Linked DNA regions of Xenopus tropicalis. The protein of the gene in region 4 purifies or fractionates together with the protein of the main gene of each other region. This does not show direct contact. Links are inferred from orthologs where the notes say so. Each region holds a gene or a part of one and is shown on either strand. Other genes may lie near its edges. The genes, in order: per1, fam110b, fam83d, csnk1d, cry2, snx24 and vps13b.

Region 1 (3,500 bases), on a different chromosome or scaffold from region 4:
TCTTGCCTTTCTGTAAGAACAGTAGACGTGACAGCGGTTTTTCCTCTCTGTAGGTGCAAAGCCTCCGCGTGCCCCCCAGCACCACCATGCCGCCTCCAGCAATCCTCTGTCGCCATCCAAGGGAGAATCACGCGCAGGGGGTGGCCGGGGCAAGAGTGGCAAATCAAAAGCCAAGCGCCCTAAGCAAGGCAAATCCCCCTCCTCCAGCTCCATGCAAACGCACAACCTCCTAGATGCCAACCTTCTACCTCCCCCTCCTCCCGTTATTCCTGGATACCCCCTGCCCATGTACCCCCCACGGGCTCCTGACCCCACCCCAGCTGTCCCCAGATACCCACTCGTCACTCCTATTGTAGCTTTAGTGCTGCCCAACTACCTCTTCCAGCCTCCTCCAGTTGCACCTCCTTTCTACCCTGGGGTTAATGGGTTTCCTCCTTTTGCCCCTTCTACTGAGACCCCGCCTGCTGCACCTGAAGCCCCTCCTCCGGCTCCTCCTCCTCCAGCTCCTGCTGCACCTTGTGCTCCACCTTCCCGCTCCTCTTCCCCTCCCCATCGCCTCTTCCCGTCTCGTTGCAGCTCCCCCCTGCAGCTTGACCTGCTGCAGATGGAGGAATTGCCTCAACCCGGGGCAGGAGGAGGGGGGGAGTGGGAGCTGGAAGAAGAAGTTAAGGGAGGTAAAGGAGGAGCAGCACCCGGGACATCTGTAGGCGGAGGCGGAACCAACACAGGAACAGGAAATGCAGAAGAGAACAGCCCGGCGGAGAACTGCATGGTGGGTACAAGCATAATATTTATTGGCTTCACTTCCTGTTCCTCCCCATTGTGCCCAAACGTGTCCCTACAACTGCCCCCCCAGTGATGTTTTGCTATTTCCCCCTGCTAGGGCGACCCCCACGAGTCCTCCTCCCACAACGACGCACTCTCCAGCTCCAGCGACCTATTAGATCTGCTCCTGCAGGAGGATTCGTGCTCCGGAACAGGGTCCGCTGCCTCCGGCTCCATGGGATCCAACGGGGGGAGCACCTCCGCCTGTGGCACAAGTGAGTCACATCATGCATTACTCCTATAGCCTCTCCTAGTCTCTCATTTAAACCACTCCCCGGTTGCTAAGGTAGTTTGAACCATAGCAACCAGATAACTGCTAACATTCCAAACCTGAGAGCCCTTCCTGAAGACAATAATGGATTCCTAGACCAATTGCAAACTCTCTCAGACTATGAATCTCTACATCATACTGAGAGTTAACTCAAAGGTTAACTTTCCCTTTACATTTTCTAGGGTGGGTGGGGCTTCGTACTAAATGTATAACTTGAAATATAACCGCCAGTCTTTCTTTCTCCAATCAGGAAGCAGCGAGAGCAGCAACACCAGCAAGTACTTCGGGAGCATCGACTCCTCGGAGGGGGACTTGCGAGGAAAGAAGTCGGAGAGGGACGAGGCGGAGAGGAAAGTGATCCGATACGTCATGCAGGACCCCCTCTGGCTCCTAATGGCCAACGCCGACCACGACGTGATGATGTCATACCAGCTCCCACCCAGGTAGGGGCGCTAGGCCGACGGTGTCTATGTGGGGTACATGCCTTTCTTGCTCCAGGGCTTCCTTCTCTCCTCGACCCCCATCACTTCTGGGACTCATCCCCTTCAACCTCCCCAACAGGGATATGGAGCGCGTCCTGCAGGAAGATAGAGAGAAGCTCAGGCAGCTCCAGAGGCACCAACCGAAATTCAGCGAGGAGCAGAAGAGGGAGTTGGGGGAGGTGCACAGCTGGGTGAGGAGAGGCCGCCTACCCCATGTCATCAACATCACCGTGAGTACGGGCCGCGGCAACGGAGGCTGCCCGATGTAGGGGGATATGTACTAATGCTTTTCCCTCCTAGCAACACCCACCTAGCAACACTCTGGGGGGCTCTGGGGGTCTGTCCTGTTACCCTTCTGTCTATTGCATGTAAAGTGTAGTTGGGGCATTGCGCCTACCCTTCTAATAGGGGCTCACCAGTGGCCAACAGGGGCGTCACCCGTTACACCAATGTAAGGGGTTGGGTTGGCAGGCAGGGCTGGGTCAGCTAGGGATTTTTTTGTAGGAGGGGCCTGGTGGGGTCTAGGTGCGCCACACCTGTCCTGCCGGCCCAGTTCGATCCTGACCAATAGTGTACCAAGACCACGCCAGGCCCCTCCTACAAAAAATTCTTTAAAGGGGCCCTGACAGCTAACACAAGCACTATGTGCATGCCCCTCGCTTCCCTCTCCCCGCCCACTAACTCTTAAAGACTGCCGGCACAGTCCGACCCTGACCAATGGCGTACCTAGACCACGCCAGGCCCCTCCTACAAAAAATTCTTTAAAGGGGCCCAGACAGCTAACACAAGCACATGTGCACGCCCCTCGCTTCCCTCTCCCCGCCCACTAACTCTTAGAGAGGAGAGTGATGGAGTGGGGGGCCTGGTTTTTCCCTGGTGTGCTGCCGGCCCAGTCCGACCCTGACCAATAGCGTACCTAGACCACGCCAGGCCCCTCCTACAAAAAAAAAATCTCCGGAGGGCCCTGGCAGCTAACACAAGCACTAAGTGCACGCCCCTCGCTTCCCTCTCCCCGCCCACTAACGCTTAGGGAGGAGAGTGACAGGATGGGGGGCCTGGTTTTTTCCTGGTGTCCTGCCGGCCCAGTCCGACCCTGACCAATAGCGTACCTAGACCACGCCAGGCCCCTCCTACAAAAAAAAAACCTCCGGAGGACCTGGGCAGCTAACACAAGCACTATGTGCACGCCCCTCGCTTCCCTCTCCCCGCCCACTAACTCTTAAAGACTGCCGGCCCAGTCCGACCCTGACCAGTAACGTACCTAGACCACGCCAGGCCCCTCCTACAAATAAATCTTCGGAGGGCCCAGGCAGCTAACACAAGCACTATGTGCACGCCCCTCACTTCCCTCTCCCCGCCCACTAACGCTTAGGGAGGAGAGTGATAGGGATGGGGGGCCTGGTTCTCCAAAGCTATAGAGAAAGCAGCCCCCCAATGTGCAAGTCCATTCTGCAGAGTGTAAACTGTATTTGTGAATAAAGTACCCCCTGTTGTAAAATATAAGGAGATTATAATACACCGAGGAGTTCCATGACCATATACCGATCAGGAGGTGACTTCTAATATCCTCATATTTCACAACAGGGGGTCCTTCATTTATTATAATAGACACGTTTTAGTGAGTCATGTTACAGAAATGACATCACTAAGCTCCGATGACATCACTAAGCACCGTTTATAAGGAAATGACCCGACTGTATATTATACATATATATATTGCATTTAGCGTTGGTTTTATATGTGCTTGTACAATAACTCCCGTTTCCCATTCCCCCCCCCACCCCCCAGTCTTGCACGGGCTGCTCCCCCGACGGCCCCCCATACGATGAGGATCTAGACTTGTCCATAATGATGGAAGAGGGAGGGGACTGTGCGGCGGTAGGAGAGGAGGGTGGCGGAGAGGCGACAAGTGGATGAAACGG
Region 2 (3,969 bases), on a different chromosome or scaffold from region 4:
TTGATGGCATCATCATGGCAGTCTGATTGCATTGCATGAAACTTGATGAGCACAACAATGGGAAGAACAGGATCACATATTCACTCCACTCCACAGTACTCCACTCAGAATTCTTTTGCAGTATTCATTGTTAAGGTGTGTATCCTTGCACTGAAAGTTTAAAAACCAAGTCCTCCTGTACAATATACTCATGGCTTGTAACAGTCTCTTGGGGCTTTATAGCCCCAACATAAGACCCCAAAATTATCATTACACATAAGATATGGCTTCACACTTTCACAAGATATCAGGTTGAACTTATAGTATTAGAAGTCAGACCCACTGAACAGTTCTGTTGAGCTGGCCCTAATGTAGAACAAGCAGAAAATCACCTGAAAATACAGTTAACAGCAATATATAAGAACACAAGATGTAATCTTATTGTTTATATCAGCCATCCGGACAGCGAAACATTGAAGCAATTGGGGCCATTATTTACCTTCCAGTCTCCTGTAGGGTTTCAGAGTCTATGGGAATAATATGGTACATATGCTAAGTCCAGGAGTAGAGGAGGAGGGTGGATCCAAAAGAAAAGTAGACAGTAATTGGTAGTTTAATGGGGGGCTCCATAGAATATCTGGCTGTAGATACTGGCACCAAATGCTTTATATATACATACATATATAGCAAATATTTAGCTGGGCCTTTTCTTGCCACTTAATGTAATTTTTCACCAGTTCACCATGCAATAGTCTCCGGGACTAGGCTAGTGTTAACCCTGATGGCAGCTTACAGAGGGATGCAAGTAGCTGTTAATGTGATTTTGACAGATTTAAAAATTGGTGCCCAGTATACCCCCGTGATCCTTGTCAGGGGCATCAAATCTCCTGTGGGCAGTACATCTGCTGAACCTACACTAGAGCGGAGATTCAGACAGCAGCCTGGAGCTTCTCTGTTGGAGGAATGCAGAAACTGTAAAGCTTCAACTGAGTAGAGTTTGTGCCCATAACAGGAATACAGACACAGGGAAAAACATTGGGCACCAATGTTTCCTTGCTATACAACTCCTGCATCAGGTCTGCAAAATGTAATTTTAAATGTAATTACAGAACTCAGACATTTATAAAGGATTCTGTGACAGCAGCTTGACCTGTGAGATTGTTGTTTCGCAATGATACACTGCTGATCCATAGTCGCTAATTAAAAACATATGCTTTCCAACAGAGCATCACAGTCCAGCCTGCTGCCTTTTCAATACTACTCCCTGGATCTCCCCGTAACCTTTGGGTTGGATGCTGAGAGTTGAAGTTCAAGCACAGCTAGAAAGCCACAGGTTGGACAATATTATTATTTCAAGCCAACAAACAGAGCCAATCTGTGCTTTTCTTACAGCAAAGAACTGACAAAGGAAAGCGGAAACCTTATAAAAACAACGAGAACAATCAATGAGCAGTGCTGGCAGCGGTTAAACAAACCTTCCCTCCAGGACTTTCTCCTTACAGTAAAAACCTTGCATGTGGCCTCTCTCACCGAATTCCCGTACACAAATGAACAGGCAAGTGCAAGCTTCTACGCAAGCGTCAAGCTTATTGGGGCTCATTTACTGAGCAGCAGCACTTCATAGTGGGTGGAATGGGTGTGCTTTATAGAGCTCAGATTTTTTCGGTAAGATACAACTCTACTGGAGGGGCTACAATGATAGAGCCTACAGTGATAGAGCTTATAGTGATAGAGGCTACAGTGATAGAGGCTACAGTGATAGAGGCTACAGTGATAGAGGCTACAGTGATAGAGGCTACAGTGATAGAGGCTACAGTGATAGAGGCTACAGTGATAGAGGCTACAGTGATAGAGGCTACAGTGATAGAGGCTACAGTGATAGAGGCTACAGTGATAGAGGCTACAGTGATAGAGGCTACAGTGATAGAGGCTACAGTGATAGAGGCTACAGTGATAGAGGCTACAGTGATAGAGGCTACAGTGATAGAGGCTACAGTGATAGAGGCTACAGTGATAGAGCTTACAGTGATAGAGCTTACAGTGATAGAGCTTACAGTGATAGAGCTTACAGTGATAGAGCTTACAGTGATAGAGCTTACAGTGATAGAGCTCCTTGAATCCAACTACTAGGGGCCTCGGAAGCCCACAACAACAACCAACCCCATGCCATGGTCCCTGCACCTTATCCTTGTCAATGGGGCGCAGACTGCCTGACAAGAAGGCACAGGGCAGTACCTTTTGCATAAAGCACAAAAATGGGGTGCATAACAGCCATGCAAGTGCAGCCTGCACCCCTCAGCACACATTTTAAGACAAATTCCAGATCCAATAATAAAGAGAGCGCAGGGTTAACCAGCATTGGCTCCAGCATACATGTGGCATCACTGCACAAAGTCCCACTATGCTCAACACTGATTGGCTAGCATACCATAAAGGTCAAATAAAACCCGATCTGCGTTATTTAAATAGGCAATTAAGTCCCGTGAAATCATGTGTTTGGCTGAAGCAAAACAAAACGATGAGCCTATCTGTAGGCAGTCATTCAATAATCCCGGGCTCTTTCATTGGTAAAAGTGACTGTTACAAAGAAAAGATGCAACGTTACCGTGTCTGTCTCCTATTGCATCTGTACAGACGCAGAGTCACAACACCGATGCACAAAGCGCAAATAAGCTGCTGATGGGTTCAGGCACAGGATAGCAGTGAATTAAATCTGCTTTATTCAGCCTGCAGGAACAGCTCAGCCCTTTCCACTTCCTGGGGAGGGGGAGGGATCACTCGCACACATTATACCGCTTCTCCTTTTTTTTTCGATATTTTATTGGGATTTGAAGAGTATATTGGCGCCACCTAGCGACTGGCTGGAAATCGTGCTTGATTTATGAGTTTAGGGTTCATTAGGAGCAATACGGGTAATGAGGAGCGGCAGCTTATTGGCCAGTGAGTGCAGGTAAGGGATAGAGGGGAGGGCTCAGGGATTCTGTGAAAATGGATATAGGTATAGCCCCACCCCCCCACATTGAACAATAGAGCTTGCCTGGCAGGTCTCAGAAACATGAGGAGGGTATGGGGGCAGGGAGGTGGGCTTAAAAGCGGCAACCTGTAACACATAGAGCCAACCAACCTTTTTCCCGCGTTGTGTTTCAGAGAAGAACTTGCTGCGTATAGAGGAGGCAAAGAATCCGAATCAGGCAAAGAAAGTCTCTTCTCAAGGAAAAGCTAACGCTGGGCAAATTATCGCGCCCAAAAGTGACTAAAATCGCAACCAGACCAGTTGCTTCTTCTATATAAACGCACCAGCACTGGGAACGCTACAGCAGCTCCTCCCATGTACTCTTTGCTTTGATTCAATGGGTATAAATGTGCAGCAAAGTAATATCCTGGGGTATTATGAATGTTTCTGCCCACAGCAGGGGATACACAGGCTCTGCCTTCACTGAATGGGTAGGTGAGTGACTAAGGTGGGAGACATTCACTCAAGTTGTAGGGTTTAAGCTGGCCATACACGTGGCGATCCGATGGTCGCACGAAACATAGTCAGATCCGCCACACACAGTCAGGGCTGAAACGGCAGATAAGGAGGTAGAAACAATAGGATTTCTACCTCCTGTCGATTCAGCCCTGACGGCAGATTTTGGTCAGGTGCCTTCTATGGCGCCCGATCAAAATTTTCTAACCTGGCCGATCGGCGAGTCGTCCGATATCAGCAGCTTCCTGCGATATCGGTCGACTCGCCGACATGCCATACACGCACCAAATATCGTACGAAACGAGGTTTCGTACGATAGTATCAGTGCGTGTATGGCCAGCTTTAGAATGGGTTCTTTTCCTCATAGATTTGAATATGTTTAATTAGCAGTGCCTAATTGCAGCAGGAAGTTACCTGGGTCCCAAGAGAATACCTGCATGGCACAATGCAACCCCAGACACTCAAGAAACCTTGTGCTTCTACATATTTAAGTTGCAGGTGTGATCTGCCCTGTGCCACTG
Region 3 (3,500 bases), about 17 Mb from region 4:
AAGGGGTGTGTGTGGGATATGTAATCTCCTTCTCTTAGAGACACCAAGGGCATTCTTTCTCCAGATTATTCCGCTGTGTTTCCAACCCAGTCTTTTGTTTTCAGAAGGTGCAGCAATGGACTCAAAAACAAATATTTCTTTGATGAAAGTCAAATAAAATCGGATGCCAGGGTTATAACACATAGTAAATACTCGGGGAAAGGGTTAATCTATCTCAGTTGCAAAAAAGAAGTATTAGTATTACTGCAAACATTCCTACAATGCAGGCTTATAAATATTTATTATATATATATTTTTGTGTTTGTGTCTTTTTCAGTCATTCTGTAAGACTATACCCATGCACACATGTCCTTTAGTCTGGTGAAGGTGTGCTAGGTTTAGGCACAGGGCCTATATACACACCTAGTGATGATACAAATATAGCAACACAGGTAAATTTATCATAGGAAACAAAAGAAATAGAAGGTGCATGAACTGCTGGTCCTCTCACAGGTGTACAGGGTGCTCCGGGTATGTGCAATATCAGTATACAGATGTGCAAATTATATTATTTTTCTTGTTATTTTTGCCAGTAGCAGTGTGGGTTGTGTGTTGAACATTTGCATTGTGCAAACAGTGCATTTAAACTAGTTAAAAAAACTGGCTTTGTTGCCTTTAAAACATGAGACCATTCCTGTTCCCAGCCAAGTATGATTACCCTTAAGGTGTAAAGTTCTACTTACTCATTAGACTGCCTCCGAATTAAATATTTACCCATATACTCATATTAGGTGGGTCACATTGAGATGGTCCTCAGGGAAACAATAAAAAGAACACAGCAGGACCAATAAAATGCCATTCAGGATGGCAGTTATTTTAGTCTCTTCCACAGGCCAAAGGGCTACTAATTTGCAAAAAAATGACAGAGCTGGCCTCCATAATTACTGTACATACAAGCAGCTGGGTAGTCACTGTGGGCGTGTAGTAGTGCATGGGGAACGGACTAAAAGCACAGTAAACATGGCAGTCATTGGGTCATTTTATGCAAGGCACTGGTCTGATAACAGAGCAAGGGAAAGTGCACATTTATTTTGTTTCTGATGAACTCAAAGCAACCACCCTGAGGGGTTTCAAACGGCAGGTGACATGAAATCTCCTTCTCCTCCGCCTACAATAGAAAAGGAGTCTGAACTTGTTGCTCTTATCCAAACGATTCCTAACTTGTCATTTCTTTTAATGCCTAAGGCTAGGCTTCTCCCCTCAAGGGACAGGGGGAGATGGTAAGAACACTAGAAACATCTTTTACTGTAAAGCGGTTTAGTCAAAAATATTCTGTTGCCCGAATGTTGGAGAGTACAGCATGCCTCTCATTTTAAGGCACTGGAAAGAACTAAAGTGCTTCAAAGTGATATAAAGCGGTAGTATAGCACATAAAGGACACACTGAAAAGGCTTAAAAGAACATTTTAGACCTGGAATCCAAGCCCAGTCACATGTTGGGATAAAAGCGCACCCCATCTCGAAGATTGAGGAGGCTGCTGTGCACAAAATCTCTCCTCTGTAGTCCATAACATGGGGCATCATTGGCCATGTAAGCATTAGGTACGCGGTTGCGGTTAGACAGTATGGACACCATGTGGTTGAGCTTGGAACGGATAGTGGAGTAGTGGTACTGTCTGTCCTTGGACAATTTCTTGAAGCTGTCTCTCAGATGATAGTTGGGTTGATAAAAGGCCGCGGCATTAAAGTCAGATGACTTTATGGAACAGTTTGAGTCGGTGCTGGTTGTTGAAGCAGAAGAAAAAGAGGACGAGGAAGAGTCAGAGGAGTTGGAGAGCCTGCCCGTGGTAGATGCAATTGCTGGTGCCTGGGTTGCAGATTGTGACGGATCGGTTGTTTGAGTAGTAATTGATCTTGAAACCATTATGGTTTGGGTGGAAGCCATTTTTGATAGTACAGAGGTCTGCGTGCCAGCATTTGTAGCAGATACAGAAGTCTGTATGCCAACATCTGCCATTCTTACTTCATTCTTCCCCTCCCACGGCTCTGTCTGAACTTCCACCGTCCGCATCTCCTTGAGCCCGGAGATGATGTCACAGTTCTGGAGCCACTCATCCTCTACAGCTTTGTCTACAACATCTCGGTTGTATTTGGCGGCACATTCATCCAGTTGTCTTTTCGGGGTGCTTGAGAGTTTGGCCAGATCCATCCGCAGAAGGCTGCTCAATGTAGGTTTCTTGTAGGCAGGCATCTTGCAGGGAAGCTTGTCTAGGCCAACAGTATGGGATCTTATAGCTGACAGAAGCTTGGCACTGATTGGGTTGGACTGGGCATAAAGAATCCTGAACTGCAGGTCAAACTTCTCAACTACTTGTCCAGACAATACAAGTATGTTACTGCTGTTCAGCTTTCCATCAGTCCAGGTGAAGCTGAAAACAAAATGAAAAGGTTGGTCAGTCCAGCAATAACTATTGACACGAGGCTGATCCCACCTAACAAAAGGGGAGTACAGACCCTTCCTTCCCTCAAAAACATATTTGCCAAATTATTGCTAGAAGAAGTATTTGTGTACAACATGGTGGCCCTAGCTGGAAGGTGACACACTTGCCCAACGCTCATGGAACAATAAAATTTGCTGACGGTCCAAGTCAGCAGATACTGTGTCATGAAGGGGCCCTTTTATCAGTCCTTAGCATGGAGCACCAACCAGGCAGATTAAAATAAATCATTTTATTATTCACATAAAAAGGCTTCACCCTAAAACCACAAGCTTGGCTTGTTTTGTGGCAAACAGTCACTTCAGAACCTCCCCCCCCCAACATGTACGGGGCTCTTGAATGGGCCTCAACGACCAATACCTGGCTGAAAATTGGCCAGACATCGACCAGGTTTAAGAATCCTGTCGGGCTGAGGAGTACATGGGTGTGATTATGACGTCCTCGTCCCAATGGCCTGTTTCCCATCCATGTGATCTGATTGTAAGGCCCTTGGGCCAAATGATTGGGTCAATCTAATATCACCCACCTCAAGGTGGGCATATTGGAGAAAGATACACTCATTTGGCAAGGTTTATGGACACTTTAAAGGGGAACTTCTTTTTATAATTTTTAATATAATAATATGGTTTGGAACAGTTGCCTAAGCCCCACCCCCTGTTGATCTGGCTGTAACAGTAACAAATGTAACAGTAGTCACCTGTCCTCAGCCTGCATCCTCCCCTGCACATGTGATGTCAATAAGGAAAGTAACATTACAGTGCAATGCATTGTGGGTCATGTAGTTCCTGCATGCTGTCTGTAAGCCAGTGATCCCCAACCAGTGGCTCGTGAGCAACATGTTGCTCTCCAACCGCGTGGATGTTGCTCCCAGTGGCCTCAAAGTAGGTGCTTATTTTTGAATTTCTGGTTAGGAGGCAAGTTTTGACTGCATAAAAACTCAGTGTAATGCCAAACAGAGCCTTCTATAGGATGTAAGTCCTCATAGGGGCTATTAAATAGGCAATTACAGCTTTTATTACCACCT
Region 4 (3,500 bases):
TCTAAGATGGTACTGAGCAAAGGGTACTGCTTTGATGGCTGAGACCATAACACCCAGAACTTTCATGCAGAACCTGGCTGTGAGAGTCTATTTTATAAGTAGGGTCTTTACCAGGGACTGGAGATGAAGAATCTTGTCTTGCGGTAGGGACACCCTCTGGTCTGTGTTTCAAACACCATCCCTAGGAATATTGTTTACTGACTGGGGACCAACAAGGATTTGTTAAGGTTGAGGCACCAACAGAGTTCCTGTAGAGTGTTCATGGTAGAGAGAAGAGATCGCTGGTCCTCTGAGAGGGAAGGTGCCTTGATGAGTAGGTCATCCAGATATGGGGTTACGCCATAATCTTGGTAACTACACGTAGGGCTGAGGTCAGTCCAAATGGAAGGGGTGGAAACCGGTAGTGGTGGTTTTGAACAGCAAAACGCAAGTACCTCTGACAGGGTGGAAAATGGGGACATGAAGGCATGCATCATTAGGGTCGAGTGTGACCAGGAAAAGGTCCGGGGACACTGCTGCGATGATTGATCGAGGAGACTCCATTTTGAACCTTCACGGTCGAATGAATGTGTTGAGGTCCAAGACTGGGTGAAAAGATCTGTTTATTTTGGGGACAACAAAGAGATTTGAGTAGGAGCCTTTGAGTTGCTCTCTGGGAGGCACGAGGGTGATCACCTCTGCGCTGAGGAGATTGGAAATCACAATTTGAAAGGCTCTGGGTTTGACTGGTTCCAGGGGAAACTTAGACACAAAGAATCAGCACAGAGGGATTGATGAGAATTCCAGGTGATATCCCAGATTCACAATTTCCCGAGTTCCTCCTACAGATGTACACCATGGTGGTTGTGGCACCCAGTCACCCGAAAGAGAATTTTTCATGAGCTTGCGGTGAGGTTTATTGTTTGCCAGGAAGACCTGGACTTACCTCCAAATTGTCTTCTGCCTGAAGCAATCTGGTCTCAGGAGAGAAGATCTGGAGGTCTTATGTGTGCCGTGAAACAATATTCCTGTACAAAAGGAAAAATGTGCCTTAGGCTGCAGGAGCAAGGTACTTTTGCCCCTGTAGCTTTACTAATAACTCTGTCAAGATCAAGGCCAAACAGAAGTTTCCCCTTGAAGGGAATGGAAATCAAGTATTTGTCAGAGGAAAAATCCGCTGACCATAGCTTCATCCAGAGAGAGCTTTGAGCTGCCACTGCTAGCGCAGAAGTTCGATTGACCACTTATGCTGCATCCAGGGAAGCTTTTCAGATGCTTCCTTGATCTGGGAGACCCACCGTGAAAGCTTGCGGCAAGGGTTTCCCGACACGCTAAGCAGGGAGTCTGACCATGACTATCGTTCTGCTAACCCAGGCCATGAGCAGAGAGAAGTATCCATGGCCATGAACAAGGAGTGCAGTAAGCCTTCTAGCTTCTTGTCCATGGAGTCCTTGAAGGATGAGGCGCCTGGGAGTGCAGTGTTCTTGGAAAGCCCGGAAACAGGAGCATCCACTGAAGGTGTGGGAAGACCATTTTTCAATGAGCTCTGGTTCGAAAGGAGTCTTGAGAAATGGCGATTAGCCACTCCTGTTGAATAATCTGGTCCAAATGCGAGTGGGAAGGGAATGCTGGTAATGTCTTGTTGTGACTTTTAAACAGTCTTGGAAGAGCCTGAAGCTACCTCAGGTTCTGAGTGACAGTTTGCCTTCTGAAAGGTTAGAATCCAGAGGAAGGGGAGAAGGATTTGAGGAATCTCCTTCGCTTTCTTCCTCGGAAGGGGAAGGAGCTCTGTGTTTGGTTGACAACCTTTAGATTGTCAATTCAGGCTAAAAGCTAATAGAGAGTAAGCAAATTTTGGAATCCCCTTGGTTAGTTGGGATGCCCACTCTGGGATGGGCTGAGATGGGACTGAGGGAGGAGGTATTTCCCTGGGGGGGGACCAAGGGTTCCTCACGGGAAGCATGAGTTACCTGGGGGGGGCAGGTCCTGGGAGTTATGTGCTTTACTCTGGCGGTAGATATTTGCAGCATTTGGCACAGGCAAGAAATTTAACAGCTGTAGAGGAAGTACCCCTGGAAAACATGCTGTCATTGGATCCCTCAGACATTGTGAAGGAAGAGTAGCAGTAAGGTGCTACAAGGCAGCAGGATCCCAATGGGCAGAATGTAACTCCTCCAATTGTACAAGAACTGAGCTGGCCCACTATCCTGCAGAGGAACAGAGGCAGGAAGGAGAGGGCGTGGGGCATTCTGAGGCAGGTGTCTGCTGAACAAGCAGTGTCAGCTTAACCCTCTGTTTGTGCTCGGATAGTACAGTACAGTGCATGTGCTAAATAGCAATTTTACTGCACTAAGTTTCTAGATTTGTTCCAGGTCTTCAAGCTTTAGGTTTAGACATCTGGCTGTTAGGCTGATAATCCCTAGCTGCCTGGCATTTAATTGAATGCCAGAATTAAGCATGAAAGGCAGAGATCCAAAGATGAATATATTAAAGGGGGACTCCACCCAAACAGAACTTCAACGTTTAGTCCCTCCTTACCTGAAAGCATACTGAATGGTGCAGAAAGAGAAGAACTGTTTTGCAGCCATATTTCAGCATATAAAATGGTATTTATTCAAATGTGAGACTCATACAGTGATAGGTATATTAGGGGTTTCTGTTGTGTAGGGCTCTACTAAATGTTGGTTTGAAAGCTGGAGTTCCCTTGAAACCCAAAAATCTATCTTTCATATAAGAAAATTACCTATTCCAAGGTGGGTGTTAATAGATGCATAGCGAGCTGTTCCAGTTAAGTTCTTGTTTTCACGATATGGTATATGCTGGTGTGTGCGAGCATCTCTGTATTTTTTGGCCAGCCCAAAATCAATGATATACACTAGGTTGCCTTTCTTTCCAAGCCCCATCAGAAAGTTGTCAGGCTTCACATCCCGATGGATAAAGTTTTTGGAATGAATGTATTCAATTCGGCTGATCTATAACATAAGAAACAAATCAATTATCTATGAATCTATTATTACAGCACATGTACATTTAAAACTGGGAAAGTCATACACGATCTGGCACGACTAACTGTATGGTTTTAAATAGACTAAATGTATTGTATTCAGCCACATTGCTTTTGAACCTTGAGAAAGCTGGTACTTACAGATGCAAAGCGTTTGGACCCCCTCCCATAGCAAACGGACATTTGATCTCACATGGGAACCATGCACTGACCTGCTGCTCTCTGACCTGTGTATCCTAAGACTTTAAACCTCTCTACTAATCGACAAAAAAAAGAAAAAAAGAAAAAGCCGCACTTTTTAGAGAAGAAGTGTGGCTTTTTCTCTTTTTTCTATGGTGTTACAGCAGTGGAGCACTGCGTAAATATGGGCTGCACCCATCACTAGTTTCTTCCAGGGATAACCCTGAAGGCCCATAATAAAGGGAGAGTCTGTGCAGAAATATATATTTTTCCAAAGTTTATTATTGGCCTGACAAATTATTTTTAGTCGATTTACTTACTAACTTTTTAAGAACAG
Region 5 (4,176 bases), on a different chromosome or scaffold from region 4:
GGGTATATTTATCAAGCTGAGTAAAAAGTAGAGTAATGTTGCTCATAGCAGCCAATCAGATGCTTTGCTTTGGTTTTCTAACTGTTGAAATCTAATAGCTGATTGGTTGCCCTGAACAACATCACCAGTAATGCTTCACTCCACTTTTTACACAGCATGATAAATATACCCCTTAGGGTTTTCTCTGCTCAACTTGACCATGGGAAGGAGAGCAGCCCGGCAGAAACCACAGCAGAGATACAATAATTATTTATTACTACAAAAATGAGCATTTTACAAAAGCGAGTTTTATGTTTTTTTACCATAATCCTTAATGCACTGATTCTACATTCCCAGTAACACTTCCCAGCCAATGAAAACCTGAGGGGTAAAAATGACATCACTTAGGGATGTCCAGCCTGTAGCCCTTATGTTTTATTGCACTACAACTCCCAGCAACCCCCTGACGGCCTTACACAGACCATTTTACCAGGATAAGAAAACAAGACAGACAGACTGGGTGAAGAGTATTTAAAATTACATTTATGATACAAACAGCATCTGTATTTACATACACGGGAAGAATGTACATATATGAGCGGTTACACGTCAGCAGCGCTGCTCTGCTAATACATGCAATATTAACCTCTCCCCTGCCAAGGCAGAATGAGTTGCACCCTGGGAATGAGCAAGCCTCTAGTAACCCTATATACAATGTACAGAGCCAGACGCGGCACAGGCAGTTTGGCTTGAAATATCCTCCACCATCTACGCCACAGATCTCTAGCTGGAAGCGCCAAAGTGGTTGGGGAACTACAACTCCCACCAACCCCACGGGACCTGCTGTAGTTCCGCAGCAAGCCAGAGGCCCCCGTGTCGGACACCTCTTCTACAGATAAAGACGAATACCGAGCTGGGGGTTGGAGAATGCTTTAAACTAGGGCCGACAGAGAAGCTAGTAATGATATCAGCATCGCTCGTCTGGGAGCTAAGAGGTTAAATCTATTCGGGGCCCCTGTGGAAAGTGCAGCCTCCTGCTAGTCCTAATGCCATTATGGGTGCGGGCGTCTCTGTGTCTCAGCTGCTCATCTGTTGGGAGAGGAAAAACCAAGATCAGCCTCAGGTACATAAGCAAAGGAAATAATAACCCCGCCCCCATTCCTGTGCAGAACCAATTTTTGAGACCCAAACCCATAACTCACGTTGACCCACTACCCCAGAATAATGTAACATATAGTGAAGGCAGAGGCATGCTGGGAGCTGTAGTCCAGCAACATCAGGGTTGTATTCTTAAAGCAATATTGCACAATAAAACTTTTTCCCACAGCCAGCGATAAAATGCAAAAAATCCCCCAATGAGAATCCCAGCTGATCTGTATAAATCCGGCTCCATGTTCTCTGTTCCTGCAATTGGAGTTGGGAGCATTAAACCCAGTTTCCCAGCACTGAACAAGTCTGCCCTTATCCCCATGTCTGATTCCTGTGCCATATAATGAGGGGAAAATGCCATCATTATCTCTATATGTAAGGTACCAGCAAGGGGCCTGACACAGTGCTGGGAATCAGCATTCTCATTGGTCACTTCTTCTGCATTTATAATGCAGTTATTTATAAAGAGGGAAGAGAATTGCCAGAATTTCCAATTGGTTTTCATTTTTTATAGTTTTTTAAATTATTTAGCTTTTTTTCAGCATTTCCCTAGTTTGGAGCTATCTGGTTGCTAGGGTGCAGTATAGCTTAGCAACCAGGCAGTGGTTAAAATGAGAAACTGACATATGAATAGGAGGAGACCTGAATAGAACAATAAGTCATGAAAAGTAACAATCACATTATAGCTCTACAGAGCAATAGTTTTTTTATTGCGGGGTCAGCGACACCTTACCTGACAGCTGGAAAGAAGTAAAACTATAAACATTAAAAAATGAAAGACCAATTGGAAGGTTTCTAAGATCTGGACATTTTATAACATACTATCTGCTGGCTCTTCTTGATTGCAATGCAGGGAAGTGAGGAAAGGCAGTTTCCCTTTACAGACGACAGGACAAGGAATGGAGAAAGGCAGGTACCTCCCAAGTGTGTTACACTTGCTAATGGCACATTCGGCACAGGGATTTAACTGCCTCCCCAGGGGGCACATTCTACATGCCCTACGGCAGCAGCGTGGCGCATCTAGAGTCCTCTGGGTAATGCTGGTTTCCCACCCATAGATCCCATTCACAGAAAGGAAAGAATATCTAGATACAGAGATAGGGTGCCACCTGCTGGTCACATTAAACTATCCCACCTATTATTTCCCATTACATTTAACCCTTCCTGTCTCTGGGGAATAGGGCACCCAGTCCTGTTTCACTGGTTGAAATAAAACTACAGAGGGCAATATGCAACCAATACCTAGTCGCTATAAAATAAAGGACTGCCCCAAGCATGATTGGCAGCCAATAGGAAGCAAGAGCGGAATTCTCTAAAGGGTTTATCCCGGTAGCACATTTCTCCTACACACTAGGCTGGGGGATAATGTAATGGTCTTATAGGCTGGAATATAAATAGTAAAGAGTAATTCAGCCTTCCTGAGCCTGAAGCCCAACCCAGTGGGATAGGCTGGATACTAACCTGCTGATATACTGGCCAAATGGGACTAAAGTCTGATTAATTCCAGGTAGGCTCAGTTACAGAGGTACCCAGCACCCGTTACTGTACCACTGACTGTTGGATAAAGGGGATATAAACCCTGCTGCACAGCACTGCTCAACCAAACTTTACTCAGTTGTTACTGGGCTACAAATCCCAGAATAATGTAACATATAATGAAGGGTGAGGCATGCTGGGAGCTGTAGTCCAGCAACATCAGGGCTGTATTCTTAAAGCAATATTGCACAATAAAACTTTTCCCCAAATCCCCACAGCCAGCGACTGCTTTAAAATGCGAAAAATCCCCCAATGAGAATCCCAGCTGATCTGTATAAATCCGGCTCCATGTTCTCTGTTCCTGCAATTGGAGTTGGGAGCATTAAACCCAGTTTCCCAGCACTGAACAAGTCTGCCCTTATCCCCATGTCTGATTCCTGTGCCATATAATGAGGGGAAAATGCCATCATTATCTCTATATGTAAGGTACCAGCAAGGGGCCTGACACAGTGCTGGGAATCAGCATTCTTATTGTTTTTTTATCAGTAGAATTCTCATTGGTGAATTTTCTTGCATCTATAATTATGTTTTTGGCAACTTCTATAGGAAAACTAGGGGGCGCAGTGGGACAGCATCATGGCTGGGTTTACATCCCCTTTAAATTCTCAAGGAGCTACAGAGACTCCTAATGGATGACTTCACATATGGCAACGGTGTTGGTTATTGGCTACTGACCAGGGAGGGGGGTTCCGCTGCGGCGCTCAGAAGTCTTTTGCCGGCCTCTCTGTCTCAGGGGCGCACAGCACCCTGACTTTCATATGCGGCTCTTCTTCTGACACCTTGCGCTTGCGTTTGGGGGACTCGACGTTGCACAGAGACTGTTTAGGAGCTGCAACAAGAACAGAAGTAAATACAACACATAAAGACCATGTATACACTGGAAACAACATCCTTATAAATAGACATTTCCTTTCTTTTACTGCTGCCCCCCATTGAGGGAAGGGCTAAGTGCATTATGGGATTTGTAGTCTCTATGCAAGACGGTGATTAAAAGCCACAACAAGGGAGTCCAGCATTTTGAGAGCTAGAATTGTATCAGCAACAACAGCTGACTGCCTGTTCTAACCGCCACCTGCTGCACTTGTGGGTTTTATAGTCTTTCAATATCACGGGCTTTGTAGCTTTTCCTACACAGCAATTCTGAAAAGCTTTTCCTTTTAAACACAGCAAACTGAGCGATATAATGGAACCTGAAAGTGCCGACTGGGCCATCTAACTGTCATCCAATGTGTGAAGGCCCCAAAGGGCTCTATAGAAAAGTGCATTTATTCTGAACATCACAGCCAGAGGCTAGAGCATTCTGACTGAGGCCCGAGTGAGACATCAAGGTACCATCATGGAAGTCAGTGTCTTTTTGCACACGCTTGTGCTGAAAGTTTCAGCACAAAACCAAACTTGTCGGCCAATCAACAGCTGAAATATAAGAGGGTATTGGTGAAGGCAAAAAACAATGGCATGAAGTGCATACTGCTTAAAGGGGATGTAAACCCTGCTGCACTGCTCAACCAAACT
Region 6 (4,292 bases), on a different chromosome or scaffold from region 4:
ACTTTGGCAGCAGATGCTGACATTAGCGCTGGACAGTCATATGGGAATGGGAACTTCTTTTTAGAGATGTACTAATCTAAAAACTAGTGTACCATTCTTCACATGCCTCTATGTCACTCACCATCATGAGACAACAGGGTGCCACTGGGTGGCAGGAACTGTGCAAGGAATCCAGCCCCGGAGCCATACAGAAAGAGGAAACTCTCAATAAAATGATTCTGGATGAGTTAATAAATGCATTCTGCAAGGCTGTGCTCAAACCTCTGGAGCCACAAGGGGGTGGAGGTGAAAGACTAATCTATATACATGATGATCCCTGTATACATAATTTCTTTGCCATATTGTTTTTAGGATTTAGTTCTCCTTTAATAATGCCAGAAATTTATAAGCATTGTGCTATCATGTATGAAATAACATTACGTAAATACTAAAGACAGGATCACAACATCCAAGCTGGGCACGCCAAAGGCATGATATCAAGACTATACAGCACACTCTTAAAACCCAATATCACTGCACATACCGACTGTTCCAAAATAGCTTGGCAAGAAAATATTGGGCAGATTGATCAAGAGGAAAGGTAGGAAGTCCTTTGAATCCCCCAAATACGCTTTCCCATATACAAGGCAACGTACAATCCAAAGATACTCTTTTCAAAGAGTCTCTCCGACTCATACGTCAAAACAGACACTACATGCCCCAGATGCCACTCAGATAGCCCCACTTCTACCACCTAATATGGACCTGCCGGCCCTTATCAATTACTGGAAGCAGGTAACCCAATTTATGCATGATGTGATGGGATCGCCAGTTCCATTGGATCCCAAAGTATGCCTACTGGCTTTTATTGAACACCTTTACCTAATACGCATGTGTCAAACACAAGGCCCGCGGGCTGAATACAGCCCTTCTGGCTGTTTTATGTGGCCCCTGGTGACTGTGCCTGACCGTACAGTATCTTAATAAAAAATTTGCCAGGCAACTTAGCCTGTATTTTAGATTTCGGCCCCTTATATGATTGAGTTTGACACCCCTGCCCTAATACATAAGAACGTCAATGGCTGAGTTACTTTACCTGGCCCGTAAACACATAACAAGTAAGTGGCTATCTATACAACGGTTGGCTGGCTCTGGTAAACCAAGCATTTCCCAATACAAAACTGGGGTACCCAGACAAATACAACAAAGTATGGAGCCCTTGGCTCCAAAACCACCGTAAAGCACTACATTCATAACCAAATTCTTTTACGACCACAGAGTCTTGCATTATTGATCAATGGTAATGGAGGCGGGCCAAGTCGGCCGGGCGCCCCCCTCCCCTGCAGGGACGCCCGTAGAGGAGGGAGCGCTGGGCGCAATACACGCAGATGCTGTGCAGGGAGGCAGCACAGAGAAATGAAGTCGGGGGAACAAATCCCGGACTAGGGGTGGCAAAAGAGGTACCTGCCTAGCGCCCCTTCACTGTTGCGCCCTAGGCAGGTGCTTCTTCTGTCTACTCCTAGTTCCGGCCCTGAATGGTAACTCCTATGGCTCATATATAAACTATGTAAAAATTATATCTTCAAACTTGAAACCATTTTTAAAATACTGTAATACTGCACTTCCCATCTACCTGCTTTTACTAATGTGCTATAACTCTGTTATCCTTATTATTTTTGTTTAAGAATTTTATAAAGTGTTGAATAAAAAATAAAAAAGACAGGATCACAGCAAAGACTGTGACTATCTTTCGTGAAAAATTCAGCTGAATTCTGAACCAAATCAGAAGGCAAGAAAGGGGATAAAAAGTTTCTGATTTCTTTGTTTGACCAAGTCACTTGATTTTAAGGGGTTCAAGGGCTGCATATAAAAAACTCCACAAATGCAAAGTACTTCAAATAACACACTTAATGAAAAGGTTAAAGGTTATTAAAGCTTATCATGTATTAAACCACATGCATTCATTTAGCAGAATGAAAGCTGGGGGGGGGGGGGGGGGGAGAATGTGTGTATATTTATTCAACTACGGCGCCCTATTCATATAACCATCTGTAAAGTACTGCCTATACGGCACAATTACAGCCGTACAGAGCTAAAGAGCTATTAAAGGTGCATTAGGCTGTGTAGGCTCTGCCTAGGGATCATTCATGCCTTACTTGAAGGTGCTGAAGTAGAACTATCAGTTCCATGCATGACAAAAGTGCCTTTACCTTGGATTTGCTCTTGACAAGACACTAAGATTGAAAATACCTTTTCTTTTACATGACCCAGAGCTCACTTGTATAGGTTATATGTGTTTGCAGAGAGAGGTCACACTCGAAAATCCCATCCAAGAGGGACCTTCCCACTCGCACTGTTGTGCCCCCTTCCTACCCGATACAACAGGAGTTGCCAAGCCCATTGTGACCTCACCTCTTGCCTTTAACAACATTTGGAATGGGACAGAAAGCAATAGAGTGATACCGTTAATAGTTTGGTATTGCACCCTCACTATCATTGCCAGATAACGTATCATTTGCACTGGTTCCTGACAGCATTGGGTAGGGGATGAAGGCAACCGGATTTGTTTTGATTCCACCCGGTATCACCCATAGGCAAATAACAGAGAGCGTCGGTAGCTGCAGTAGCGCAGCTCTGTGACCGGCATTTGTAGTTCGTCACTAGTTGTGTCGGGGGGTGATGTGTTTTTCATTCACTAACACACACTCATTAAGCACAACCGTGCCGTTCCCTTGCAGGCAGCGCTGGCTCCCCTACCGTGTAGCCTCTCTCCATATCACTGTCTTCGTACCGGAATGATGGAATGTAAACCTCCATAGCGTTCGCTCTCCCCGGGCACGGCTCGATGAAGGCACGGCCAATGGGAAGCTTCCCAGTGATGTCACGGTTGGCGCTGAGTGCGGCCGCTACGAGCACTAACCAGCAGAGGCACTGGGCGGCACGGCGCTGGGGAGAGCCATATGGAAAGCGCTGTCATGTGACGCGTCATGTGACCGCTCTGAATGTGGAAGTTTGCCGGATTCCAGCCTTCTTGCATAACTTGCCTGATGGAGGGGCAGCTGACACGGCAAGTCATTGCCTTCTGCTTCTGTGTTTAACAACATACTGTAGCTAAACGTTGGGAAGGTGCAGCCGGCGGAAGGTTCCGCTAAGGAGACTAATAACGCAAGCACAATATATGCAGAGTCATAACACTGCGCTGGGTGTGAAAAATATGCAGTTGGCCGACTGCTGCTAAATTACTGGGCCCTATTTATAAAGGCAGCGCAAAGAGAACAAGTTAGCCTTGCCTGTAGTTATATTTAAGCAGCTGTGAACTGGCATATTTAAAGCGCTTGTTTACCTTTAAATGAACTTTTAGTGAGCTATATATAGCAATGTGTCTATGAAGATTCTCATTCATCCAGGTCATGATATACAGTATCTAGTAGAATTAAGTCTAAAACAACTGGACTTTTCTGAGTTTTTCTTGAAAACGTTTCACCACTCATCCGAGTGGCTTCTTCAAGGGGGCCTGAGACACTGCTTGTCACCAACATACGATGGCGCGTTGACATCCTTACTCCGGCAGTTTCACAACAGTTCACACTTCCAGTCATGTACTTTGAAGGATTAACACCTTCATCAATGAGAATCATGGTACCATTGTGATTGGATCATACCTTCTTACACCTGTCAGTTTCAGCTAACACCTAACTGAACAAGTTCAATGGAACCATTGTGATTGGATGCCTTTGACTGTACTACCATCAAGAGTTTAAATACCGGGGAATTCCCTACCAGTCATTTGAACTGAAGAAGCCACTCGGATGAGTGGTGAAACGTTTTCAAGAAAAACTCAGAAAAGTCCAGTTGTTTTAGACTTAATTCTACTAGATACTGTATAACATATATATAGCAATATTCTAAAACTTTGCAATTGGTTTTCATTTTTTTTTGTGGTTTTTCAGTTATTTAACTTTATGTTCTGCAGTTTTCCAGTTTGGAATTGTAGCAGTTATCTGTTTGCTAGGGCCTTAGGTTCACCTTAGCAACCAGGCAGTGGTTTGACCTAGAGAGAAGAATATGAATAGGAGAGGGACTGAAGAGAAAGGTAAAGAATATAAAATAACAATAGTAATAAACTGGTAGCCTCACAGAGCAATATTTGTTTGGTTGCTGGGGTCAGTGACCCCCATTTAAAAGCTAGAAAGATGTAGAAGAGAAAGGCAAATAATTTAAAAACTATAAAAAATTAATAATGAAGATCAGTTGCAAACTTGGTAGGTATATGACATTCTATCACATAATAAAAGTTAACTTAAACGTGAACC
Region 7 (3,500 bases), on a different chromosome or scaffold from region 4:
GGTACCCCCATATACTAAAGCGTAATAGCATCTCTAGTACGTTACTCAGTGAGAGACACTGGATAAACACATAATACAATGAGTGAAGTACTGAGTAAATTTACATTAATTACTTTTTGGATTTAGATGATTTGATATTTAACACCACAAAAGCAGGTCAGGAACAAGTATATTATGGTATACTCAGTGGCAGCACTACTGGAAAGGGGTGGGGGGTGACTGCGCCAGGGCCTGTCCCCTATGTGGTTCTTGTAAGATATCACAGTACACTGAGGACAGAGAGTGTGGATGTGTATGGGAAAGAGGCCTGTATGGGTAGGGAAAAAGGTCCATAAGGGATAAAATCCATAAGGCCAGACCTCTATCCCTGCCACTGGTAACATGTTTATTTCTGAGCTGGAAGTTGCCTATGATTAAGTGCGGCTACGCACGAAATGCGTCAGGCGTTCTGGGTTTTTAAGAATGTAAATAAAGTTCGAGTTTTATCCATTTTCTGGCTGACCATGGTGCTTTGCGAGCCGCTTTCTTCAGAGATCTGAGCTGGAAGTGGCCTATTTGCAATGTAATCACACTGGTCAATGTCTATTTAAAGCTTAGGGCAGACTATATCTAGTTCTGCACCATCATCTCTTTATTAGGCATGATGTATATCATGAGTTTTAGAAGCAGCTCTGTCTGTTGTTACATTTTCCAATTCTCTACTATATAGCGCTATAGGATTTTTTGGTACAATGAACAATTATATACTGTTTTCCATACTCACCTGCTCGGAACAGGGCACCCGCGGCATAATGCATAGCAAGGGCATGTACCAGCTGCCTGGCTGTCGTGAAGATAGGTCCACGTTCAAAGACAGAGAAGGACAATGGGGTGTGATCAGAGGCAATGTAGAGCTTGAGGGAGGCATGAATGCTGACCAGGAGGTTGACGGGTTGCACTGTTAGCTTCCGCAGCTTCACTGGATTAACTAGGGCTAATGCGTATAGCCTCACTTGTTCCGGTAACAGGTGATTAACCTTTGGTCCTGGGAACTTTACTGCGCTGTGCGGTATTTTGCTATCCGGGAGGTAGGTGTCAAAAAGTGTTTTAACGTAATAAACAAAAGTGTCTTCTAAGTAAAGTCGAGATGGTTTCATCTCAAAGCTAAGCTCATTAAGGTCGTACGCTTCATGTTCTACTGACAGAGAAACAAAGAATTTCACAAAGGAACTTTCCTTGAAAGCTTCTAATTCTTTGGTGGACATTTGGAACCCATTGGACTTTGCCCATCTGGCACTATCGCTTCTCTCCTCTTGGCAAACAAGAACTGGGAAATGGAAGTTGGATTTGTTGTACAACTGGTTGTCCACCTGCAGGTCTCCGCAGTACATCTCCAGGCTATAGAACAAGGTACTTCCACATGTTATATCTGCCTGGAGTTCCAAACACGGCTGTCTGAGGTAGCTGCTCACCGGTGTCACGCTAAAGAACACATTATCCAGAGTGAGGCGCAGAAGCTCCGATGATGTTTTAGCATTTGTGACATCATCAAAAATTCCAAGGCTCAACTGGGTGATGAAGAATTTGACCATAACACTCTGGCTCTGAGACCTATAGATAAAGAAGACAAGTTATTGCACTGCAGCATAAAGGGGAAGTACACCCCCATGTTCTACCTGAGTGCAATGAATAGGGCTTGTGCTGAGCATACTTTTCAGCTACAAAAAAGGGGAAACTCCATGTTTGGTCTTTGCAAGATAATTATATGACCAATGCACAAATAATCCCTTCTGCATAAAGAACTTCCTCGTAACAAAACAGTCACAACAAAAGGTGACGTTGCGTACTGGTAATCTAATTATCTACCTTGAAAGGACTAAACATGGAGTAGCATCAAATTCCCTGTTTAGCTCTAGAACGAAACTGTATGGAAAAAGTATGCTCAGCATAAACTTATGTTTATGATGTTTGAATTCATGTTGAATAAGGGGGTATACTGTCTACAGGAACAAATACTTAATATAATTTAATACAACAAGGCATGTCCCACTGGACTGCACACTTACAACTAAGACTTCCAACATAATGATTTACAAACGGTGAAGTTCATTAAATATTTGAGCAGAATATAAAGGACACGCAAACATTTGACAAATACAGGTATGGGATCCATTATCTGGAAAGCTGTCTTGCAGAAAGGTCCAAATTACGTGAAGGCAATTTACCCTGGACTCCACTTTAATCAAATAATTCACATTTTTTAAAATGATTTCCTTTTTCTCTGTAATAATAAAACAGTACCTGTACTTGATCCCAACTAAGATATAATTACCCCTTATTGGGGGCAGAACAGCCCTATTGGGTTTATTTAATGGTTAAATGATTCCCTTTTCTCTGTAATAATAAAACAGTACCTGTACTTGATCCCAACTAAGATATAATTACCCCTTATTGGGGGCAAAACAATCCTATTGGGTTTATTTCATGCTTAAATACATTTGTAGCATGGTCAATGTAAATAATGTTAGTGAGTCAAGCTTTGTACGACTAAATGGGCAGCGGGACAACTAAGAAGAGTTCCTTTAGCAAGGCAGGTCAGTAACAATGGCTATATACCATAGGTACAGTAGCTTGTGGTTTTCAACTTCTGAGTCCTGGAAAACTAACTTAAATGCAGTGTTCTGTTTTGCCTTTAATAAAATGGTTTACGTGATACCCTAACATATCAGATGCACACAGCACAATCATCAGACAATGGGCTCTTATGGTATTTATATAGAGAATGAATGCCCCTGGATGAGTGAGAAGCCTTACCCTGGGAAATGTTAGATGTTAATATATGCTATTACCATGAGGGTCCTATTGTATAACAATATTGTTATAACACTGATATTACTCAAGAATTTTTTATTTTGAAAAAGTGTGTCGTAGAGCACCTAATGTTGGTGAAGTGATTGGTAAAGTCATTTTTTTGTGAACATGAACATATGTTGCAGCCTGTGTAAGAGATATCCCTGGCAAACTGGGGAGAAGAGGTTCTGCAGTAGCTGCAATGCCGGCCATATTCTCATCTGTCTTTCAACTATGAGGATTTTGAAGATGGCAGAGTACCATACATGCATAATTTTGCTGGTGATAAAAATGACCATGACTTGTTTGATGGTAATAAAACCTGGAAATTCCCCAGCAAGTGGTACATTAGTATCTTTTTTACAATCCATGGAAACTTGTGGCATTTTACGACATAAACTTATATGTGTAGGGTTGTGGGAGATGCCACTAGTGCTAGGTTTGAATCCCCTGTAGGGTTTCCCCATAGAGAGAGAAAGTGGGCCACTGTTTTCCAAGCACTAGATGGCAGGTGTGCTTTGGGTACTGTAGGGAGAACTCCCCCTAGTGGTGCTTAGGGAATTGCTCTCCTAGTGAGGGGTTCTCTAGAAAGGAAGGAGGGACTGTAGTAGTCAGTAGTGATATCAGCAGCTTTAGCTTGAATGAGAACAGTAAGTGGGGCTGGTTTTTTG

What was found.
Region 1: the proteins of csnk1d (region 4) and per1 purify together in Homo sapiens (affinity purification with mass spectrometry; 4 studies listed by BioGRID and IntAct, counting the BioPlex papers as one, with this or other methods). This does not show direct contact. The link is inferred for Xenopus tropicalis from reciprocal best matches to the Homo sapiens genes CSNK1D and PER1.
Region 2: the proteins of csnk1d (region 4) and fam110b purify together in Homo sapiens (affinity purification with mass spectrometry; 3 studies listed by BioGRID and IntAct, counting the BioPlex papers as one, with this or other methods). This does not show direct contact. The link is inferred for Xenopus tropicalis from reciprocal best matches to the Homo sapiens genes CSNK1D and FAM110B.
Region 3: the proteins of csnk1d (region 4) and fam83d purify together in Homo sapiens (affinity purification with mass spectrometry; 4 studies listed by BioGRID and IntAct, counting the BioPlex papers as one, with this or other methods). This does not show direct contact. The link is inferred for Xenopus tropicalis from reciprocal best matches to the Homo sapiens genes CSNK1D and FAM83D.
Region 5: the proteins of csnk1d (region 4) and cry2 purify together in Homo sapiens (affinity purification with mass spectrometry; 3 studies listed by BioGRID and IntAct, counting the BioPlex papers as one, with this or other methods). This does not show direct contact. The link is inferred for Xenopus tropicalis from reciprocal best matches to the Homo sapiens genes CSNK1D and CRY2.
Region 6: the proteins of csnk1d (region 4) and snx24 purify together in Homo sapiens (affinity purification with mass spectrometry; 3 studies listed by BioGRID and IntAct, counting the BioPlex papers as one, with this or other methods). This does not show direct contact. The link is inferred for Xenopus tropicalis from reciprocal best matches to the Homo sapiens genes CSNK1D and SNX24.
Region 7: the proteins of csnk1d (region 4) and vps13b purify together in Homo sapiens (affinity purification with mass spectrometry; 3 studies listed by BioGRID and IntAct, counting the BioPlex papers as one, with this or other methods). This does not show direct contact. The link is inferred for Xenopus tropicalis from reciprocal best matches to the Homo sapiens genes CSNK1D and VPS13B.

The regions. Positions count from the first base shown.
Region 1 is NC_030679.2:144,457,499-144,460,998, forward strand, and holds part of per1 (period circadian protein homolog 1), read left to right. Parts: intron 1-53; coding exon 54-772; intron 773-883; coding exon 884-1,040; intron 1,041-1,346; coding exon 1,347-1,539; intron 1,540-1,657; coding exon 1,658-1,808; intron 1,809-3,366; coding exon 3,367-3,495; 3' UTR 3,496-3,500. UniProt on the Homo sapiens protein: Transcriptional repressor which forms a core component of the circadian clock.
Region 2 is NC_030682.2:116,184,967-116,188,935, reverse strand, and holds the start of fam110b (protein FAM110B), read right to left. Parts: upstream 2,801-3,969; 5' UTR 2,585-2,800; intron 1-2,584. UniProt on the Homo sapiens protein: May be involved in tumor progression.
Region 3 is NC_030686.2:40,361,921-40,365,420, reverse strand, and holds part of fam83d (protein FAM83D), read right to left. Parts: intron 2,408-3,500; coding exon 1,468-2,407; 3' UTR 1-1,467.
Region 4 is NC_030686.2:23,244,753-23,248,252, forward strand, and holds part of csnk1d (casein kinase I), read right to left. Parts: intron 2,952-3,500; coding exon 2,723-2,951; intron 1-2,722. UniProt on the Homo sapiens protein: Essential serine/threonine-protein kinase that regulates diverse cellular growth and survival processes including Wnt signaling, DNA repair and circadian rhythms. It can phosphorylate a large number of proteins.
Region 5 is NC_030680.2:13,669,040-13,673,215, forward strand, and holds the end of cry2 (cryptochrome-2), read right to left. Parts: intron 3,494-4,176; coding exon 3,366-3,493; 3' UTR 3,340-3,365; intron 1,069-3,339; 3' UTR 501-1,068; downstream 1-500. UniProt on the Homo sapiens protein: Transcriptional repressor which forms a core component of the circadian clock.
Region 6 is NC_030677.2:169,501,193-169,505,484, forward strand, and holds the start of snx24 (sorting nexin-24), read right to left. Parts: upstream 2,801-4,292; 5' UTR 2,797-2,800; coding exon 2,737-2,796; intron 1-2,736. UniProt on the Homo sapiens protein: May be involved in several stages of intracellular trafficking.
Region 7 is NC_030682.2:128,392,182-128,395,681, forward strand, and holds part of vps13b (vacuolar protein sorting-associated protein 13B), read right to left. Parts: intron 1,591-3,500; coding exon 764-1,590; intron 1-763. UniProt on the Homo sapiens protein: Mediates the transfer of lipids between membranes at organelle contact sites. Binds phosphatidylinositol 3-phosphate. Functions as a tethering factor in the slow endocytic recycling pathway, to assist traffic between early and recycling endosomes.